Drosophila melanogaster: one gene and its partners. The protein of the gene in region 1 interacts with the protein of each later gene in a pairwise test. Each region holds a gene or a part of one and is shown on either strand. Other genes may lie near its edges.

Region 1 (6,295 bases):
AACAATTCCGCCATACACTGAAGTATAAACTAGTATATTTGGAATATAAGTCTATTTCATTAACTTATAAAGATTGAATGGAGTTATTTTTCACATAGAAATTTGTTAAATATACGAATAGGATATAGAACCGTATGGAACTGTATTTTCGGTACCATTTTGTAGATTCTAACCTTTTAATTTTCGAACCGTGTTTAGGTTTTGCAATCCAACGTGTCGGCTGCTTTTGTGGTTTCGAGGGCTTTTGAGACTCCGGCATCGCGAAATCAACGCATCAATCATCTTCGGTTGCACAACTGCAGGGAGGTGCAGTCCAACCAATTGCAGCTTTTCCCAGATGATAATACCAGTTGCCTTCTACCAATATGCTCATTAGCACCAGTCCGATGTAAATTCTACTGCCTTGCTATATAATCGCTAGGGTGATTTTACGAGATTTGCAACCTTGAACTCTGGTTTTTTATTATTGCCAAGTGCGGATAAGGCCAATAATACTAACGAGAGTCCAAAAATAAACAAGCGCCACAAAGAGCTGGATCCGAGTCACAAAAACTCTCCTAAGCTTGGCCCAATAAACAATGGCTTTGGCCGGCGATCGACACCCACCACACCACCACCAAAATTGGTCGTGGTTCATCTGCGTGGCATCATTACGATCGTCATCTGGCGCGGCTCGTCCGATTGAGACTTGAATTGAAGTCGATATTTCTGGGCCGAAGGTTGCGCTATTAAGTATACGCCGCATGTGCTCGCCAAAAACCAAAAGCCAGACTAACGATGAGAAGCATCTCGGAAAAAAGTCATTGTACTCCGCCAGGGAATGAGCTCTGAATAACCTGATGGTTCCGGTCATTAGGTCCCCGTTTATTGCGGTTGGATCGATGGTCGGCAAAGGTGGATAAACGGAGTATATCAAATCGATCGGAAGTCGCGGCCAAGTTCCTTCAACTTTGCGATTATGCAATCGCATTGAGAAATTAACACACTGAACTCAAATGGTGAACTGGTGCACTTTCGTTAATGAATTTAATTAGATTATGAATATTTTTCAGATTGCTTTAACATTTCGATTTGTATGTAAATTTTCTGCAAATGCTCAAGGTTGAATCTCTGGGTATAAAGTGCTTATTTATTTTGATTTTTTGTTCACATAAATTTTACAACTAGGCGTGGCTTGCCGGCACCTAAAACTTGTGTTACAATATATTGTCGTGCGCGGCATTAGTTAAAGGACTAGTGAAGTGCATTCTAACTGGGAAAAACATATCCATGTCTGGTGAGTACAGTCGCAGTCTAAATTCTGATGATCAAATGGAAAATTTCAGAGCAAGCGGAAATATTACCTGCCATCTCTGTCCATATAAGGAGGATCATTCTGATCTAGCATGGTCAATTCATCGTGAGCTTTTCCTCTAGTCATACAGCCACTAGAAAGCCCTTGAATCGATCGTATTCATACTTCCCCCAATATGGCAGACGCGTGTTTCGGATCTGTGAGATGGGATCAGCTTAGGGCGACATGTCTATACATATTCATCGTCTCCCCCGCCGACTGTTTGCACATGTAAATTTGGCGCGGCTAGATTACATGGTCAGTTACGTGTTATTCGGTTAGAATTCCGCAAAAAGATCTTGTGCTCGGCGGCCATGCAGCGGACTTTGAGACGAAAAATGCAAATGTTTGCTTTGTTGCATTGCTTGGGTTTTTTGTCGAAAAACGCATCAAAAGTGCAGGGTAATGGTGAGATTTTTAGCAGGTAAATTAGAATAAAGGTAGTTGAAGGGTCGTTAATTGAGGGTAAGTAAATCGTCAACCAAGCCGCTGTCAAAGTTCGATCTAATTGCTTAGCTCACAAAAATCGACTACGTAACGTTTCAAGCTTGCACAAATAACAAGTAAGCGTCGGGTCCTCCGAAATATTAAGTATCCGCCAGGTTGCCTGCAACATCCAGGTCTCGGTAGCCGCTTTTCCCATTCGGGAATTTGTATGTTTCAGAAGTTCACGGCGCATTTTGGCCATTTATTGGCCATCACGAAGGCAAACGGAGGAAAGCCAAGTATTGGTCATTATAAATATTTAAGAGCCCAAGAGGCAAACTGGTTTGGTCAGCCCCATCTTCTTCTGCTTTTTACCGCATACGTATCCAAAGATTGGGCTTTGTTGCTGGCAACCTTTCCGCCGCTCTCCCTCGCCGTGATTTGATTTGATTTGATTTGATTTGTGGCTACGTTAATTTTTGCACACTTTTCCGATATGAAGGGCCGGGCCTGGGCAGGGGTTAATTAACGGACATTCTTGCCGAACTTTGAACTGTGCAATCATGCGCGCTGCCAAGACGCGGCAAAAGTACCGCTCCGATATTTGGATTGGCGGCAATTAGCGCCGCACTTGGGTGTGGGTGCAAAGGCGGGTGATACCCCCACTGGTGGATACCAAGAATTCGATTCCAAAGGGCCGCTGGCCGATCTCGCTCTCGCTCTGGCATCCTGACGCCCGACCCGATCGCTTCGGCTGTCAGAGCGAGAGCACACATCGACAACCTGTTGCTCAGAACCTGTGGCTAGCGACCGAAGCTTTCGACTTCGGCTCACCTCAACGCCAGCGCCATCGCCACGCTCGCCGAAAATGAGCGGTCGGCGGCGCCGACGATCTGCGTCGACGTCTGCGCCAAGTCCGCTCCTACGACTGCGAGGCGGTATAAAAGTAAAGCGGCAGCGTGAAATCAAACTTATTTCAGTGTTTTTGATTTGAATGTAAAAAGCGCACGCTCGCCCAGTCGCTGTCCAGTTGTTGTCCAGTAAAGTCCAGCGGAGCAGCAGCAGCGGCAGATCGGTCGCATCAGCAGTAGCATCAGCAGCAGTTCCCCGCAACAGTGATGTAGAAACCATAAAACCGTATAACGATGGTCAAACAGTGTGTGCGTGTGTAAAACAATAACTAAAAACCTACAAGCAAGAAAAACGAAAAAAAAAAACGAAACGAAACGAACAAGGATAGTGCGCTAAAAAGTGATAATTCGTATACCAAAGTCGAGAGAATCTCTGTAAATTAGTCAAAAAAAAAAAAAAGAAAAAATAAATAAATACAGTACGCTTCCTTGTAACAAACGGAATATAAACGCGCATTTAGTACCTGTTGAAGCGAATTTTAGCACAATGGTAAGTAGCGGGGGTTCCCGACCGAACACCCAGTGTGACTCAACGGAAAATTGATGCCACTGAAACCTCCTTTATTAAAATGCCTTTGCAACCAGTAATTTCGATGCCGACCCCCAACATGCAAGCCTGAATAAATAAATATACATGATCGTACGTTGACTTGGGCTTTCCGTTAAATCCCACAACCCACAAATGACCCTTTGCACACGACTCGTGTGTGCTGCTGCTGCTATTAAGCAAGAAATTAATAATAAAAAAAAAAATAAATAAAGCTCCTATAATGAATATCCGCAATGCAGCCGTTAAAATTAATTGAGCAAATTATTAATCGAGAAAACCTCTCGAGCACCAGCCATTCCTGGTTCTTATTCGTTTTCTTTGGAAATGGAAAAAAACCGCACGCCAGCAACTGGTTTTCGTTTTCAAGTACACATTCGCTAGCAAGGTTTTCCACTGTTTTTTCCCAAATGCATTTTTGCCGACTCCGCGCAGACCTTTCCACGCTTTTCGCCCACTTTTCCCCCGCTTTCTGCCACAAAACATGAGCGTTTTGCTCTGTTCTGTTTTGCTAGAGCCATTCGCTTTCGAGCTCCGCCAAAAGTGCATACAGAAACTGCAAGTGCTGCACTTATTTCGAAGCTGTCGCTGTGTTATGTCCGCAGTTGCAGCAGCAGCACTTACACCAGCAACATCACTGGCTGGCGGTCAAGTGAAGTGAAGGCTGGCTTTTGGCTTTGACCAGCTCACTAGCCCACCAGCTCACCAGCTCACCAGCTCACCAGCTCACCAGCTCACTGGCATGACAACATTTCACACGGAAATGCAGTGCATCGCTGACCTTGAATCTCGGCCGGGGATATGGGATAACTGGCGATCGGAGCGCAGGTGAAATGATAGCCAGTCAGGGCCAGGCCGACTCATTTGTCCCGTCCACCTTACTTATGCTTTCGGCCCATCATTGCAGATGCTGCTGCTGTGTAGAAATCCAGTGATTTTCATATTCATTCAGCAGCTCTGCAAATTCGAGAGAAAAAACCCCAGTGGGTTAACCAATCGCCGCCGCTACTACCGCTGGCTAATGATCACTGGCATTGCACCATTTCACAAAAAAAAAAAAAAAAGAAAAAAAAAAATAAGCAGGCAACCCAGAAATCGAAACTTATTCAAATCTTCGAGTTGTTTTCTTCTCCTTTTGGCCTCTTACACAATGATTATTACACCTCGATTTTATTTTCGACTGGGACTTTTGCCGCATTTTTGTGTTGCCTCTTTTGACACTGAAAAGTGCAAAGGCGCTGGCGGCGAATTTTACTAGTTGCCAGTTGGCTATGGGCGGCTATGGGCTATCGGGTCTGGGTTGTTTGAGGCTGCTTGTTGGAGCCAGAGCCACTGCCACCCAGCTGCCAAACTGCGCAGCCCCCGCCAAGTGATCATAATAAAAAAAAATGTGCCTTAATCAGCCGATTTGCTTGCATTCCCTGTGGGCCAGTTAGCTACATTGGAGAGCCAGTCTCAGACGCATTGACGTCGCTTTATTGTTGACTGCCGCTCGGCACTCAGCTGTTTTTTGGTAAGAGAATCATGTAGAGAGCATATAGTAAACACAAAACCATAGGCAGAGTGCCCTCTTAGTACTTAGTGTGTGTGTGTGTGTGTGTGTGTGTGTGTGTGAGATAACGCTTGCCGCATGTGACTGAAATCGCAGTGCATTCGCTGCTCCATTTCGATTTGTTTGGCTCCACACGGCGTATGCGCGATTTTCTCAGTAGCTAGCTAGTCTTCGTTCACTTCAATTGCGAATATGCCATTTGGGCAAAGGTTTATTGTTCTACATAAAAAAAGTGCGTGTCTCTCAGCAATTTTTTTACTGGCTGTGTATATTCCCGAGCAAATTAACACTTAAAAACTGATAACGCAAGCGAAGAGAGGAATTCGAGGTAGATAAACGTAAAGAGACCATTAAACGGAGAGTACCTGAAAATGATTACATTTATGGACTCTTATCGGCCCGTGATTGAAGTAAGTGTCATTTGAAATTCAATTATTGCTCGTTGGAGATTAGACAGAAAAGTTATGCCAGTAAAGGTGTTAAAAACACTAAAAATAACAGCTTTTAAATTATTATTCAAACACGCTGGCTTGCATATTTTACAGCTCTTTGAGTGCCTTTTTTTTTTTGCAATTTTATACAAACTCTTCGTTCCCGAAAAAACAATTAATTTATACATATTTGTCGCTTTAAACTGGGTCGGTTGGATGAATTTATTTGTATAAATTAAATTATTTAGTGGGCCATGCTGTCATACCGAATTCGTGATTAAACATATTTCCATTAGTGCGAATTTAGATGGGACTTAGGTGCTAAAGTTGTTCGATTTTGTTTTTAAGTATTTTAAAAATGTTTAATAATATTTTCTAAATAATTTCCTTGTCGTACAACAATAAATTACAAATAAATTCCATTTTAAAGCAACGAACGCATTTGCAGTAATATATTTTCGACACATTTAATCCGAACACAAAATAATTAAATCAACATCAACATTGTGGGGCTAAAGCAAAATTTAAATTAGTGGACAGAAACAACCTGATAAATACGCGAATGTAAAGTGATTGAGGAGCTAAAAGTCATTGCTTGTTTAATTGTGTGGCTAGTGATTTACGGGCTTGGGGGCAGAGAACTTTAGGCTGGGAAATGGCAGCAGGGACGAAAACCAAAGTTCGACATTCCCAATTCGAATTGCATATTATGCCTGAATGCCTGAATCCAAATGGTATGGAACCATTTTTAATGCAATCGTCTAACATAAACGTTCACGAAAAAATCAACATTGGCGGCCTGACAAACGCAATGTAGAATGAATCAGCTAAAATATATCCCCCGAATTGAGGCTTTCAAATGGTATTTGGGGAACTCACTTACACTTACGCACATTTAGCCAACCTGTTGAGTATTTGCAGCTGTGCACTTGACTACTGGCTGAGTTTTTAGTTGCTGCAAAAACTGCTTTGCACTGAAAGAAATTGGTAATCATATAATCTTATTAACCAAAAAATAAAAATGCTCAAAGGTTTCGAATTTTCCAAAACCTATTGAAACTTCTTCATATTACCATATTTCTGACTGACCTAAAT
Region 2 (4,013 bases), on another chromosome or scaffold:
AAAGAGTTTTTAATTAAAAGTCACCGCTTATTAAAGAAGTGTGCCTAAATATTTTTCATCACGATTTACTGTTTCATATTTACTGTTTCAAATATACCTAAACGTAATTTGTTAATCACTTAACAAACGAGTGGTATTTTAACCCAAACGCTTCGGTGCAATATGACATTTCTGGCGGGCATCACTTAATCCCCACTGAACATCCCCTGAATTTCCGCCCACCACCCACTTTTTGGCTTTGTGCTTTGCAAATATTTGTTTATGCATCGCTACCTTGACTTCGCTTTTCCCACTCCGCTACATATGTATGCATTTTCCTCCGTACAGTTGTGCATGAAATGTTTAAATACGTTGAGTCCCTAAATCAGGTCACAAATATAAAACATTAGATTACGAATGGGATTTTACAACTGGAAGTTAAATCCCTAAAATAATTCAAATTATAAATAAATTGATGGTTAAAGCGCATCTTCTTATTACATACTAATTGAACTATAATTATATAGTATAATTGTTATAATTTTATAACAAATACTTTAATTTTAGGCCGTGCTGTACTTGTTTGTCATAATCAAATACACTTCCACGTTGGCAAAGGGAGGACCATAAAAGTTAAGTAAATATATAAACACGATTCGGTTTACGCCTGCCTGCCCGTCAGCCTCTTTATTATTGTTGGTTGTTGAATGTTGTTGCTGGTGATGTTATTGATATACGTGAACATATATATATATATATATATATATCAATATATCAATACATATCTGTGCCGCACACACGTAAATCAAAATGTTTGTAAGTTGAGTAAACAACATTGGAAATCAGTTATGTTGTACTGCATTATAAACTACCCAATAAATGACCCCCGTGACTTTTAACGCCAGTGCACTTTGTCTGTAGATTCGAAAAACGTGAATTTCCATTTTCTTTTTTATGCGCTGAACTTTTTTTGTAATTTTTACGATAAATTGCGCGTGAATGATGCATAAATCAAACGAAGTTGAGGCATTTTATATACGAGAGTGTATATGAGCTCTGTCAAATGTATCGACCGAGTAAAAATTTACATAGCATCCGTTTTGGGTCCATCAAGCAGTGATAAATATGTAGGTGCATGGTAATAAGAGCCGGCAGAAAAATATGCACATGCATTTTTAACAACGATTTAAGGATGAATTTCATGAAAATCGAGCTTGATGAATAAAAATATCAATTTGGATTGACGGAATTACGGGATTTCATTTGAGAGACAACTCAAAGAGCTTTGTATGTGAAGGAGAGCTCATAAAGAATATATAACACGCTAATGAATGCATTACACAACTTTTTTTTTGGATCCAACTTTAATCTTTAATGGAATAAAAGGGTTTTTTTTAACAAAATCAAAAGATTTATGTGTACTTTTTTTTAAATTACTTTTTATTTATGACACATTTATGTAGAATTGTCCACATTTAGGGGGATTATGACGTCGGATCTATTCGCTCCCGATTTATATGAAAGTAGGCGAGAAAAATTATGAAGACGGCCAATCCGACGAGTCCGCACCAGAAGCCAAAGGATCCGCAATTGAATCCATCCCGGTATACCTCGCAAATGTCCCCGCCAACAATCAGATTCAGCTTATCCTTAACGCCAGGTGATCCAGCCATGGAATATTTTTCCGGCTCCCCAAATTTAAGCCACAAATTTTGAAGTTTTTCTAAAGGCCGAGAGTAATGTGTGGGCCACAGGCTCCTGGGATTAGGATTCGTGTACGCCGTGCCTCATCGGAAAAGTACGCTAACAATGATGAATCATCATGGAGGGCAACAGGATATGCCTGCAACGTAATTGAATTTAGTGCTAATGATGGCATTGACGATAGCACATAATATTCGGCATTAATTCAAGCAGACATTAATTGATTGATTATTTGATTGCATTATTGTCAATATCACAATTGCAATTTGGTCGCTCCGCTTCAACGGGTCGTCCTGTGTATCTGTATCCTGGGTGTCCGTCGAGCGCGACACATTCGCGAAATTGAATGTTTGTCATCAGGCCAACAACATTGATAATAATAATTTAGCACAATTTACACGATGACAGCCATAATTAATCGATGCAATCGTGCCTTCAAATAGCAGTTGAAACGGGGCTTATTATGGGCACTGGAAATAAAAACGAACTGGTGTATATACTTAAATTGTTTGCATAAAAAACAACAAAAATTTACATTTAACGTAATATTTCGGGAAATTATAAAAGAGCTTCTCAAAATAATTATTTTAGTTACCATTGTATTCGCAGGACACCGCAAATTGTTTGTAATAAAGATTTCACCTGAAGTCCATTCATTTTCATGTTAATTCACTGGCCTTCCTGTAGCAGGTGAATATTTGACTTAAGAGCCGGATAAAACTTGCGTTTTGCTAAAGAAAAGACGAGGGAAATATTTAATTTACATTTAACTTTCTGCCGCCCCTTTCCACTCAGCAATTATGTGGCCCGAGGAGATTCTAAGCGAAATTTTGTGCGCCCTGCAATTATACAAAAATTCTTCTTGGTCTCGTTTCTTTCTCGTATTGCATTATTCATGGGCAGGGGCTAAGCAAATTAAAAGCCAGCTTCCCAGCCCAGCTGGCCAAATAATTGTTTGAAGTTCGCTCTTGGCCTGGCCTGTAATCTGCCGCAGTTTTGGCCACTAATTTCGCCCTGAGACAAAACCGCCTACCGAAAAGAGTACTCCGCAAGCACTAAGCTCAATTGAAATTGCTTCTGGGATAGGGAGGCAAGAAGGAAGACTGCTCGAAATGCCGTAGAGTAATTGAAATATTGGCAGCGAGCTCAACTCGTAAATTATGCACTCGAATCCAAGCATAAAAAAAAAAAAAAAACGAGGGAATACTCACAACAGTTCGCTGTGTAAACTAAAGATAGGGAAAGAGCCAACTTTCCTGAGATTCCCTTTAATTTATAATTTATCAGTTTTGTGCTTTTGAAGCTGTTTTTGGCTGCCCAACAAGAAAACTTTGATTGCGGTAATTAGCAAATTGTGCAACTCTCTCAAGGTCCACTCCCCCTTTTACCTCTTCTACCTGGAAGGCAACAAAATGGTGGTACAAAGTTTGAGTGAAAATGTATATGTTAAACTGCATTACAACATTTAATTAAATATTTAACTAAAAGGGGCAAGTTGTTGGAAATTTTGTATGCGTAAAAGTGTGCTACGAATTACAACAATTACATTTACAAAACCTTTGTAATTGACTTTTTATCAATGCTTTACATATCCCATATATTATAAGCAAACTAGCTTCTTAAACTACCTTTTTATTTTCAGTTGTGTAGTGGGAGTTCAACTAAAGTTGTGTGAAAAGGGTAAGCCGGGTAAACCAATTTGCTCAGGGTCCCTAACATATCTGCCAGAATATATGTATATCGCACAATGAAATTGCCTATGTGGCAATATAGTTTCCTGCCATATATGTATGTAGCTACTGCAGCAGGGAACATCAATTTTGTTTCCCTCCGCCCGGCTTTTATTATTGTTACTTCGAGGCTGCCACAATCCGATGCCCAACCCCTGCTGCGTTTTTGCCAGGTAAAAACCTAAGCTAAGCAAACATACAAAAAAGTGTTAGTATGCTCAACGCGACTTTCGCCACCACATAACCACATACCCCACCCAGTCCCATCGTTCTGGCCATCACAAAATGTCCTTTTAGCAAAGGACATATACACACATGCGTATGTAAAAATTTTCGACGTGATGTAAATTTCTATTGAATGCTGAATGGGCAGAAAAAATAGCTTTAATGGTCTTTTGGCCAGCCAAAGCGAATAGGAGATCCGGCATATAGGATCCCGGACAAAAGACCAGGAACCGAGGGCCATCAGAATGGTCGACATTTGAATGAATTGTCGTTGAAATCGGTTGACCAGGTGATACCGTGCGGTTGGGCACCCAATACTGTTCTACATATGCCAACTGTTTGACTGCCTGATTATTTGCTGAATAATAACCAGGA
Region 3 (7,004 bases), on another chromosome or scaffold:
CCTAATGTTGTTTGTTTATATGTGTGTTATCACTTTAGCTATCTATTTTATCTTCGCTGGATTGATAAGCCTATAGAAGCACTGTGTATTGCTCATTTTAGGCGTTGCAATTGCTTTTATCAGTAGGTGTGTCATGGAAACTTTGTTATCTGGCTGTAAAGTGGTTAGAAAATAAGGGCGCGGAAACCACAAACTATGTAATCAAATACTTAGTTGGTTCATTTTTCACAAATAACAAGTTATTAATCATTGAGATTTGAAAATATTGCAACTTGCACATGTGGCACTAGTTCGCTGCCCGCGACTGTGCGTCAGTATGTATGCACATATGCACATGCACGCACACTTACGCACATACAGGCAGACATAACGGCGAAAGAAGGGCATGTCCATTGATAAAAGGTGAACAATATCTAAAAATAAACGCCAAATTCCAACATCACAGCCCTGCAACCGCCCATTTATCAAAAAAAAAAAAAAACCACCAACAATCGCCGTGTGCTAATCAAATGCGCCAACGTGTGCATCGTGTGGGTGTGTTAGCATAATGATTATGATGATTATTAAGATCGTTAATGGAGGCAACTACTCACTTGCCGCGAAAGCCAGCTGTTCCATATTGGATGGTCTCCTTGGAGGTCTTTGGGTACATCTCGCGGGCGAAGGCGTAGACGGTGCGCAGGTTAATAGACATCTTGCGATACTCGAGGGCGGTGCCACTGGTCCAGAGCGAGGTGAAAGGTTCCGTCCGGTTTTTCCGGACTTTCGAAATTTAACAATTCCACAGATGTGTGCAGGCGGGTGTGACCGTCGTTTCGCGGCACTGTTCCACCCTTGCTTATGCGGCCAAGCGGTCACACTGCGCTGAAACTTGTAACTACGCTATTTTCTTTAATTTCAAACATTTTACTGGCTTTATAAACAATACAGAGTGTTTTAAGGTTAAATGCAATATTTACCAGCGTAAATTTCAATAACATCTATGTTTCAAAGCGATGTTAGCGCACATATTCAATTTGAATTTGGCGGCTACAATTGCGGTCAAGATATTAGGATTCTTCAAATGATACTAATTCAAAATAAGCAAAATAACTCCTTTATCTAGTTATTTTATTTGTATACTTACATAAGCGGTTGTAAAAGATTCGGCTTACATCTCCTAGGTACATTTTTTGGACGGTCTTAGTTGGTATGTACACAAACAAATACTATAATAAGGCACAGGACTTTATAAATTATAAACTATAGCCTTCAACAGATATTTTTCGGCTAGTTAGAGTTTCATTTTCGGACGGAAGGGATTTCACATTTAACTTAATCATATTTGGAATGTAAAAATGTTGATATGTTTTCTCTTTGTGCTAGAGATGCTTGTAGAATTCTGAAATCTAAGTGAGTCTAGTGGCTTAGAGCATTGCAACCAGCGAACCCACGAGGAGCAGGCCCACGGATAATGCCAACTGGGAGGCACCAGCATAGCAGTCGGTGATGCGGCGTGCTCGCATAAAATCGCTGCCCAAATAGGCATCATACCTGCGCTTATTGGGCGGAATTACTTGCAGCTGCCGCGTGGCGTCCTGGAAGATCAGATCATAGTGCCCGATCGGCGAGGAGAACATGCTGAAACTGAAGGCGTCCACTTCCTTGCGACCGTACAGTTGTTGGGCATAGGTCAGCAGATTGATGTAGGCATTCATCTGGGTCTCGTTGTAGTTGACTCCGCCGCGGGTGACCACAGCATTGGCCTTAACCTTGCCCAGATTGCAGCGCTTGTAGTCCTGGATCTCGGCACGAGTACCATCCGTGCAGAGCAGCTCAAAGTCATCGTTTAGGGCATTCCTGGCCCACCATTCCTTGCGTTTGCCGCCCGTGCTTTCCATCACCGTGGTGTGCTTCATGAAGGCCACGTGACCGCCGCCCTCGACGAGGCAACGGAATGCACCCGTGTGCCCGTAGTATTCCTCGGAGGCATCGCGACGACAATAGCGATAGCTAGTTCCATGACACAGATCGCACATGCTGTCGTAGGGCACACCGGTGTTGTACTCATTGCTAATGGCACCCGGCACGCACGACTTGGTGAAGTACTCCGCGGCAGCTCGAACCGAATCGCATCCGTAGGGACGAATCCAGCCGTTCGAGATGAAAAGCGCCATCGGATATGTCCAGCCAGCGGCGGTGTTAATGCCCGTATGGCAGGTATTCTTACCCTTCAGGTAAGTTAGCTCCGTATCGGGATCATCCTCCTTGGCCACGGCAACCACATAATACTCGGGCTCGCCCAGATTGTACACCTCCGACATGAAGGGCACCAGGTCGTAGTTGAGGCCACCAGTGTAGACATCGCCGGCATCGAAAACGGAGATGTCTGCTTTGCCCGCTTCGATGAACTGCATGCAGTTGATGTGGGAGTGCATTTTCTTGCAGATGAGTTCTGGTTTCAGGAGGTGAGCTTTCAAGGCAGTCTAAAAGTGTTTTTGTAAAGGATCATCAACTCATCTTGCTATCCATATATTCACTCTTCAACTCACCCTCATCTTGATGCATTTATCAAGCTCATTCTCCGAAGTCACGCAAAGCGTCATCGCTGGAACTGGACACTCACGGATGCCGTAGATAAAGTTAATGGCAGGGCCTAGGTACTTGGTAAATGACTGATCATCTTCGGGAATCACGGTTAGAGCGCGACTAGAATCCTGTCACAAAACAATTGAATGTTAAGTATGTATTTCGGATCACGGAAAATATGATCCACTTACCTGGAACAGCAAATTTGGCTTGCCATAGCGCTTCGACTCGAAGATGCGGAACTTCTCATAGAGTATGGAAGTGTTCGTGCCGTCCTGCTGGTTTCTTTCCTCTGCAAAACTGCTGTCCAATCGTTCGCTGCGATACTGATCGTATTGATTCTGCGTTCTGTACGGATCATTATTATCGAACTGGCCATAGGCATTCTGATCGTTGATGTTGTTGCGGCTGTTGAAGCTTTGTCCTCCCTGCCTGCTCTGATCATCACGTGTGCCATCGGAGTACAGCTCGGCAATGCGCTTCAAAAACTGCTGATACTGCTTGCGATCGCTGAAGCTGCGAGCCGAAGATGTGACAATGGCATCGGCGGGCACTTGGCCCCAATTACACTGGCGATAATCGTTGATGGAGGCACGACGACCATCACGACACAGCAGCTCAAAAGTGTCGGGTGCTATGTTCTCTAAAAAACGCAGCTTAGATCAGTAATGGGTTTTCAGAAGTTTCCCTTTGGTAACTCACTGAATTCGGTGGTTTGCAGCATTTCATTCACAGTCGAATGGCGCAAGAAGGCAACATCTCCTTTTTCAAGCAGACATTTGAAGGCGCCTTCGTAGCCGAAGTAGGGATCTGCAGATGAGCAGCGTCCTCCGGGTATCTTTCCAGTGCAAAGCGTACAAAGTCTGGTTTGAAAATTGATTTGTTGTTAGTTAATGTGTGTAAAATTGTGGCTTTTATGCGTCATTACTTATCGGAGTTGTCGCCAATTGGATTGTGTTTGTCGGAAAGCGAGTACACAGCACACGAATTATTGAAATAGCTGGCGGCCGTCTTCACCTGGTTGTTGCAGTCCACCACTTCCATGCCGCCCTCCCTTTGGAGCTGCAAAACGATAAAATTTGTTTGTTAGTTGCCTAATGAAACAAATAAACAATCAACTTAAAAGAGGAGTTCTACTCACCGTGTGAATGGGCACAATCCAACCGGCCAAGCTGCCCACCCAGGGGAAGCACACCCTCTTGTTGCGCATGTCGCGCAGATTGTTCAAGTCTGGTAGAGATCCCTTCTTGATCACGGCTACGGATTGATAGTCCGCAAAGCCGCCCTCCAGTTTCTCCTGCATAATGGGTATGAGGGAGTTGTACCGTCCAGCAGTGAAGACATCGCCCGCATCCAGCGTGGTGATGTGTGCCTTCTCGCGATCAATGTGATGGATGCACTCATCCGCACTGTAGGCCATGAAGCAGGTGAGATTGAGGAACACCTCGTCGAATAGTGCCCGATCCCGCTCGATGGCCACCGTAAGGTTCTGGCATTTGTACTGCTCCGCCTGGCTCTTGGTGCACCACACCATCCGTGTGGTCTTGTGCTCATCGTAGTGATGTTGTGCTGCAAAATCGTGGTTTTAACTCATGCCAACGCCCTAGAAATGGGCGACTTTCGTATTCCAGCCGCAACTTACCGTTAGCGAGCGTAAAACATAAGGCGCCGACTAGAGCCACAAAAACGAGGCTGCTAGCCATATTCGGGATATAAGAATATTAATAAGTGTATTAACTAAAAAGATCTATCTGCAAAAACAATTACTCAAACAAAACACCACACCCAAGCCCAGCTCAAGGAAGCCAGTGTAACCAGAGCGGGCAGAAATAGACATGATTTCAAAAAATACCAACAGGTACACACAGTGGAGAATGCTTAAGTGAGATATGAATCAAGAAACATATTTAGCATTCAGGATATTTCTAGTTTAATCTATACCTATATCTATTTTTATTATATATACAGTAATCTTGTTTATTTATATTTTACTTTCTATCAGGTTATCTCTTCTGTAGTATTTACTGCACTTCACCGGTGACCACAGTAGTGTGACCACACACTTGGCGTTTTCTAGCATCTTACGGTCAACCAGGTGTTTTGTGTTTTATAATAACAAACCGAAAAGTCAGCTAAAATATTCCATATTTTAGCTAAATGGCAGTCCTGCGTGGTTGGAGATTCGTTGGATTCGTGTCCTGCATCGTGGGCGCCGTGGGCCTCACCCTATACCCCGTCATTGTGGACCCCATGGTTAACACTGAGAAATACAAAACCCTGCAGGAATACAGCAAAATCAAGAGAGATGAACTGCAGCACATTAAAAGGCAGTAGAACCCCCTGTTATGCTACACTTAAGAACCCAAATATGTGTATTCTAGTTTGCCTGATAAAGAACTGCAATGTACAAATTGCTATTAAAATAGAAACTATTTGTACCCTGACAGCATGAACTCCATGAATTAAACTGTTACCTATACATGCAGGAAAATCCAAATGATTGTGCTTGAATGTTTATACTCTCATTGTTTTAAATAGTAAACCTAACGTAAAAGGCAATTCAAAACATTAATTTTGATTGCACTTGGATTCCGGAACTGGTTCCCCTTGCCGGTGCATCGAAAGCTTTAGGGGATTTCTCACCACTGCGTTGCCGCTTGTAAAATTCTTTATCTCGAATCATACGTGGACATAAATATCTGGATATTAAACACCTGCTGATTTACCACAAAATTTAAATGCAAAATGACCACCGCCGCATTGAAGCGTGATGAAATCCTGCTGCTCTTCGACGTGGACGGCACGTTAACGATGCCCAGATCCGTGGTCACTCCGGAGTTCGAGGAGTTCTTCTACTCGCGGGTTAAGCCGAGGGCGACCATCGGAATCGTCGGAGGCTCGGATCTGGAGAAGATGTTCGAGCAGCTGAATGGCAGGAAGATACTCAACGAGTTCGACTTCATATTCCCGGAAAATGGGCTGGTGCAGATTGAGGGCGGAAAGGAGGTGGGAAAGCAGAATATCATCATGCATTTGGGCGAGGAGACGGTGAAGCGTTTCATCAACTTTGTGCTGCGCTATCTGTCCGAACTGGATGTGCCCATCAAGAGGGGCACCTTTATCGAATTCCGGAATGGCATGATGAACGTTTGTCCCATTGGCAGGCAGTGCACTCGGGAGGAGCGCAACATGTTCGCCGAGTACGACATTGAGCACAAGGTGCGCGAGAAAATGATCAAGGACCTGAAGCAGGAGTTTGCCGATGTGGATCTCACGTACTCGATTGGTGGTCAGATCAGCTTCGATGTCTTCCCGCATGGTTGGGACAAGACCTACTGCCTGCGACACATCGAAGCGCACTACAAGTTCAAGGAAATCCACTTCTTTGGCGATAAAACGGAGCCGGGCGGCAATGACTATGAGATCTATAGCGATCCTCGAACCATCAGCCATAGGGTATATACTCCCAAGGATACGCAACGCATTCTCACCGAGATTCTGGAGCTGTGAGAATTTCGAGCTTACTCAGCAGTTGAAAATATTCCATTTTTATACATGTGTACAATTGTTAACCAAATTTAATATATAGTCACTGGAAATTCTTAATCCGTGTCCATGTCCGAGCTGCTGCTGGAGATATCCTCCTCGCTGCCACTGCACTCCTCGTCGGAGCTGCTGCTGTCGCTATCCTCCCATTCGTGGCCCTTCAAGCTATTGGGGATTAGCACCTTCCATTCCAGTTTGTGCAAGTCCAGGGCGTAGAAATCGTTGTAGGTCAACTGCTTGTCGTCCTCTTCGAAGATGCCACCGAAAATATACAGCGTTCCCTTGCACACGCACATGCCGGGATTCATGCGCGGAGATGGCACATTCGTCGGCTTGGGTTTGGCGAATAGGCTGGGTATTTTGGACACGAATGGCGTGGTACTGGTACTGGGACCGCCAACGGTGACCGTGAAAATGCCATCCGTGGTGGTGGTCACTGGCTTATCAACAGCCGACATCTCCACATCTTTGCTCTCCTCCGAATCCTTTTTCTCAGCGCTGCTGCTTTTAGTTTGGATCTCCTGCAATCTCCATGTTTGGGAGGTCAAATCGAAGGCCAGGAGATCATCGCCGAACTGTCCGTGCACATCTTCGTCGTCCTCATCGACGTCCATAACGCCACCGAAGGTATAGGCCTTGCCATTCGCAGCCACAGTGCAGCCGACGCTGCTACGCGGCTTGGGCTTATATCCACCTGGTTTCACGGGTGCCCACTTGTACTTGTTGTCTGCATCGCCGGCGTTTTCTGAACGGAAACAGGAGATATTAATATAAGTAATATAAATCAGAGATTCTAAATCTTACTATCTTGACTCAAGACAAACATATCCGTGTGTGTTACTCCTCTGTCCGCCTCCTTCTTCATGGCGGCCCTCGAGTAACCGCCCCAC
Region 4 (5,390 bases), on another chromosome or scaffold:
GGGTGCTACGACTCTATTAACGTGTCGAGTGCGTGAAACTTTTTGCAGGCTTCCATTTAATTTCCATGGCCGATGGCTTGTTGCATTTGCCTAAGCAGCCATTGTTGCCTTTTCGAATTGCTGCGACTGTTGCTGCGACTGTTGCAGTTGCTTTGTTGCACTTCGGGACAGTCGTCAAAGTGATCGTGGTTGTCGTCTGCATCGTTGCTGCCATGTAGGTAATTCCTGGAAGTTAATTTCATTAAGAGCAACTAGCAATGCGCGGCGTATTTATTAGCCACACGATATATTGTATGGGCCATGGCTTTGTTTTTCAAGGAATCTGCCGCCTGGCTGTTCCATGCATTTGTGGAATTCATCATCGGCGGCGACTGGCGGTCGTGGCGGCCGTGGCAGCCGTGGCAGCAACATCCCCAGCACAACTGGCATTTCCCCCGAGCCACTGATGTTGCAATTTTCATAACTTATTGCTGGCATGCAAGTCAGACCCGGATCCGGTCGCGCTTGTTACCGCTAAATATGGCGCGAAATTTCCTTAAGAAAATAAAGAAATACGCGCAAGTGCGATTTCCAGTTAATAAAATTAAACAGCCCAACTCGGGCAAGGATTTTAAAATAACGCACACCGGCCGCCGAGCCGACTTGTAAAATTCTTATTAATTCTGATTGCAAGGCATTGCAAGGATCGCAGATCAGATCGCAGCAGGAACAATTTAGCTCAGATAAGAGCTGCGCTTGCCTGGTTGCCATTGCGCCTACATTTGGTCAGAGTCATGCCGACAAGTGTTGTACACGCATTCCAGATACTTTTCCATCATTAGCCGATCGTCGTTTGCTGCTGTTTCTTGATCCAATCTGGGCAAACACCTGCCACAAGTGGAGCGCAGTGAATCGAAAGCCGTTTGGAGAAAAAACATCAGAGCAAGTGTTCAACTGTGGAGATTCCCTGCAAGTGGGCTTTATTTGAACACGGATAACACGCAGCTTAAATGCTAGTCAAACTCAAGCTCAAGTTACATCAAAACAAGATTCATACAAAGACCGCGGCGGCAGTCTTGTTTACAAAACATATCCAACATGGTATACAAACTAGATTACAAATTCGAAATAAGAACAATGATGCGCCGGTCAGTAGAATATGTAATAAACGCCGATTAACAAAAGGACGAGGAGTACAATGAACAGCTTCGACTTGATGTGATACTTCTGCTCCAGGCTGTTCAACCAACGGTTAAAGGCCTCGGATACGCTGTTATCATTCGGGCGCAAGGAGCGCCTGGCACGCGGCTCATAGCCGAGAGAACCGCTACCCGCGTTTCCACTGGCCAGAGTGCGTCTGGAATACGGGCTGATGCGATCTCCAATCCGTTCGGCTCGCAAACGAGCTAGATTCCTGGCAAATGTGCTTTCGTACTGGTCTTCCTTGGAATCAGTGTCGTCGCTCAGCTCGTTAGCATAGGTACGCTTGTAGCTGGATGAGTAGGAGGCCACCGGCGGAGCCTCTGCAGTCACATAGCCTTGGGCTGCAGTACGCACAAAACTGCTATAGCGACCGGGTGCTGGGTTGCTCGCATAGTCATAGGACCTGGTGGAACTGGTGGTCTGCGCTCTGGCAGATGGCACAGATGGCGGCAGCACGGGAGCTGCTGTCGCTTCATAGACCTGTCGGCGTGGAGGCTCCACAACCTTGCTTTTGTACTCGTACGTAGTGGTGCCGCTGCTTGCGAGCTTCGTGGTCTTCTGTCTGGCCGCGTGCTCCTGCTCCACCAGATCTGCAGCCTGGACTAGCTGCTCGTCCTCTTCTTCATCGGACTCTAGGACAATCAGGGAGTTGACCTTAAGATAATTCTCCTCTCGATCAGCGCGCTTCGAGGAAGCCGGTTGCTCAACAATGGTTTCTGGCTTCCTCAAGGGCTCCACTACTTTCCTTTCAGACCCCGAGGAGGTGGAAGTGCGCCGGGTCTGTACGGGTTGAGCAGCAGGAGCAGTTGTTGGCTTCCTGGCGGCAACGGGCTCCTCGGATCGTAGGCGGTCGGCTTCGTCGGGGCGTCGGCGTATAGCTTCCTCGGGTAATCGACGCACTGGTTCCTTGGCCTCTGCAGCGGTAATTGTGCGCCGAGCCTTTGTGGCGGGCGCCACCTTGTTGCCATCCAGCTTGTCCACCGGCGTGGAGGCTGCCGCCGGAGCAGATGGTGCACCAGGTGCGGGAGCCAGGGTCTCCCGCCTGTTGGTCTTCTTGGGACTAGCGGCCGGCGACGCCTGGCCACCAATGGAGGCGCGCAGACGCTTTACTAGAACCTTCCGGCTGCTATCCGTCACGGGGATGTTGGGCAGCCCCTGTGCCAGCATCTTGGCGCGCAACTCAGCATTGGACAGAGAATCAAAATCGTCCACATCGGCCATTGTATGGTTTTTCGCACACTTTTAATAATTCGTTGAAAATTGAAATCGGCGTCGCTTTTACGCGGTGTGTGCTAAAATAGTGATGGCAGCAGTATTACCTATCGATGATTCTGTTTTAGGGGATATACAACACTGAAGTGGGCTTGACTTGTAACAGTTTTGGCGTTTTAAAAAAAGGGAACACAAGGAATGATGTTTCATACTAATCATCGCACACATCGCAAAATCGTGCAAACGTAATAAAACATCTATGCTATATTATTATATCGTTATTTACGTTAGATATTGGCAAATGAAACAGTGATCCAAGAGTCGCAGTTTAGCTCACCTCTGTTTCGATAACTTATCGATATCGATTGCGCTCCAATGGACTAAAAACTAAAACACAAATCAACAAAAGCAAAAATTGAAGTGAAAATATAAGCTATTACAATTTACATATTACATACAATTTACATATAAGTACGAAAAAACTTTCCTGGGCCGGAAACAGATTCGAAAACAAAGGAGCAAACACCCACATATTTGAAGAGGATTAATCATGGACATCTCAAAGGCACCAAATCCGCGAAAACTGGAGCTGTGTCGCAAATACTTCTTTGGTAAGAGTTACTACCAATGAGTAATGATTGGATTTTAACCAAGTTACTTTCTATTTGTCTCGAACTTAGCTGGCTTTGCATTTCTGCCCTTTGTGTGGGCCATTAACGTTTGCTGGTTTTTCACGGAGGCCTTCCATAAGCCACCATTTTCGGAGCAGAGCCAAATAAAGAGATGTAAGTCAATATATGAATAGATGCCCATGCCATACAGTCTAATATTCCACAATTTCTTTCCTACCTTCCTCCAGATGTTATATACTCTGCAGTGGGGACTCTATTCTGGCTGATAGTACTAACTGCCTGGATAATAATATTCCAGACAAATCGCACAGCCTGGGGCGCCACAGCGGACTATATGAGCTTCATCATACCCCTAGGCAGTGCATAGACATAACTAGATTAATTCGTTAGCAACTAATGATATTAAAAAAGACTTCATTCCTAAACAAAATTAACGTTTATTATTAATCCATCAGAAGTTCCCGTATATGACCCAAACAAAAGAAGTGCTGTTTTGATTTAATTACATATTTTTTATTCACATCTAAAGCTGTTTTTGTTTTTTATAATTTTCTGTATACTTTAAATATGTGTACTATATTTTGTTGAAATTTCTTAGCCGCTAGTTATGTGTTTTGTTCATATTCGTCCGCCCATATTTGAATGCTTGATTTAGCTTTAGTTAGCCATTTTGTGGATTACATTCTTTGCTTAGATACAATTTCATTGTTTCGAATTCAATTCAATGCGCTTTATCCATCTCTAAAATACATAATTTGTATAAAACTCTGCTTGTACCGTTGCATAAGCCATTATGGTAATTTGTTAAATCCCATTTAATTGTTTTGTTATGTTGTGTGTTTGTATCCGTGAGTCGAATGCCTCCTACGATTTGATTACAAATTGCATTAAGAATGTCAAAAAACCTAGCGACTCCTAAATGAGTGTAAGGAAAACACTCGCCGATCTACACATGAAGACATAATTCAAATTGCTATTATTCGGTAAATCGCTTGCATTTCGTTTGCGGTTAACAGCAAATGCTGCCAACACATATAGTAAATTACAATATTATGTATTAATGTTTATAACACGAACTTGGTGGCAAAGCACCTAAGCAGGGCCACCAAATCAATCAGTGGAACTAATTTACAATACAAAAGACTCGCTTTAAGGTATATTTACAATCAATACTTGTTTTATTTATAAATTCTAAAGAATCAATGTGTATTTGGGATAGGAAGCGGGATTTTTGAGGGCCAGATGGGAGCTTTCTCATTCAGTTTTTCTTTTTTTTTGGGCTTAGGCTACAGAACATTAAGTGCCATAAATCACGCGTGTAGAGTCTATGAAGCGGCTAGTGAATTACTACACACCCACATTCACATAGATAATCCTTTAATTACATATATATCTCGCCATCGTTATCATATCATATATGCAGCATATGCGTATAAATATTTAAAGTACAAATTGATGCTTAGAAACAATTAAAATTAATGTGCGGCTGCTGGCCGAAAAATTCATCGTAGTCATTCACGGAGAACTTATAAAGTAGAAACTACGGATACGAGTAGTACACACACAGATATAGATTTAGATACACATAATATATATTTATATTTATAAGAATTGAATGGGCGGCGCGCCCAATTTGTCTTTTAGATGCAAATCCCGCGCAGCTCCATCCGCAACACAGATAAGGATAATTAATACACACGCTAAATGCTAATCTTGTACGTTCTACTTGCATAATTTAATCATTTAGTTAAACAATATTCATACATTTCGATCTTTTCTTAATTTCATTTCTCGTACGTTTAGTTTTTATTTTTTTTTACAAAGAAATCAACACACTACAGTATCGAGTTTGATTCGTTTTTTTCCCTTTCATTTTTTGCATGTTTCATGTAATCTGTTTGTTGGTTGTGTTTGTTCATGTTCGGATTACGCCTCTCTCGTATGATATAAATATAAATATAGATATCTATATGCAGATGCAAATACACTTAGGAAAAAGTCGCTATATGTAGTTATGCTATATATATTTATATATGTATAGGTTGTATGTGGTAATAGTAGTGATACCTTAGGCTAGTTATAGTTAACCACATCGAACGAAACATCAAAAAATACTTATGCATATAAATAGTCGATTCTGTGTTCCTCTCGGTTCCTCGACCGCCGATGCATCAGCATCGAAAGGACTCGTTGAGGCAGCCAAGACTGTGACAGGTTTCGACGGGAAGAAGTTGGAATCCAACGGGGAACAAAGCCTTATCCTTCTCCCATTCTATCTGTCTGTCTGGGGATCTCAGAAAATAGCAAATGCACTATGGGGCGGGCACCATGACTTTCCGCTCCACACTAGTTGTTCTTTACGTT

What was found.
Region 2: the proteins of Elovl7 (region 1) and CG34170 interact in a two-hybrid assay, tested with the Drosophila melanogaster proteins (one large-scale study listed by BioGRID).
Region 3: the proteins of Elovl7 (region 1) and Tsf2 interact in a two-hybrid assay, tested with the Drosophila melanogaster proteins (one large-scale study listed by BioGRID).
Region 4: the proteins of Elovl7 (region 1) and Ote interact in a two-hybrid assay, tested with the Drosophila melanogaster proteins (one large-scale study listed by BioGRID).

The regions. Positions count from the first base shown.
Region 1 is NT_033777.3:7,992,285-7,998,579, reverse strand, and holds the start of Elovl7 (ELOVL fatty acid elongase 7), read left to right. Parts: upstream 1-2,727; 5' UTR 2,728-3,157; coding exon 3,158-3,160; intron 3,161-6,295. UniProt on the Drosophila melanogaster protein: Catalyzes the first and rate-limiting reaction of the four reactions that constitute the long-chain fatty acids elongation cycle.
Region 2 is NT_033779.5:17,310,108-17,314,120, forward strand, and holds CG34170 (uncharacterized protein), read right to left. Parts: upstream 1,714-4,013; 5' UTR 1,653-1,713; coding exon 1,464-1,652; 3' UTR 1,361-1,463; downstream 1-1,360.
Region 3 is NT_037436.4:12,529,342-12,536,345, forward strand, and holds Tsf2 (transferrin 2), read right to left. Parts: upstream 4,384-7,004; 5' UTR 4,272-4,383; coding exon 4,211-4,271; intron 4,138-4,210; coding exon 3,710-4,137; intron 3,631-3,709; coding exon 3,497-3,630; intron 3,432-3,496; coding exon 3,271-3,431; intron 3,212-3,270; coding exon 2,760-3,211; intron 2,697-2,759; coding exon 2,532-2,696; intron 2,466-2,531; coding exon 1,407-2,465; 3' UTR 1,095-1,406; downstream 1-1,094. Other genes in the region: nst (nesthocker), read right to left, coding at 594-694; CG34242 (uncharacterized protein), read left to right, coding at 4,726-4,902; Pmm2 (phosphomannomutase type 2), read left to right, coding at 5,314-6,078; CG4069 (uncharacterized protein), read right to left, coding at 6,171-6,859, 6,919-7,004. UniProt on the Drosophila melanogaster protein: Iron-binding protein and component of septate junctions that form the paracellular permeability barrier in epithelial tissues.
Region 4 is NT_033778.4:18,274,677-18,280,066, forward strand, and holds Ote (otefin), read right to left. Parts: upstream 2,502-5,390; 5' UTR 2,404-2,501; coding exon 1,129-2,403; 3' UTR 931-1,128; downstream 1-930. Other genes in the region: pen-2 (presenilin enhancer), read left to right, coding at 2,945-3,005, 3,075-3,179, 3,254-3,393. UniProt on the Drosophila melanogaster protein: Inner nuclear membrane protein. Involved in the attachment of membrane vesicles to chromatin during nuclear assembly, and is probably required for centrosome maturation and cell cycle progression during mitosis.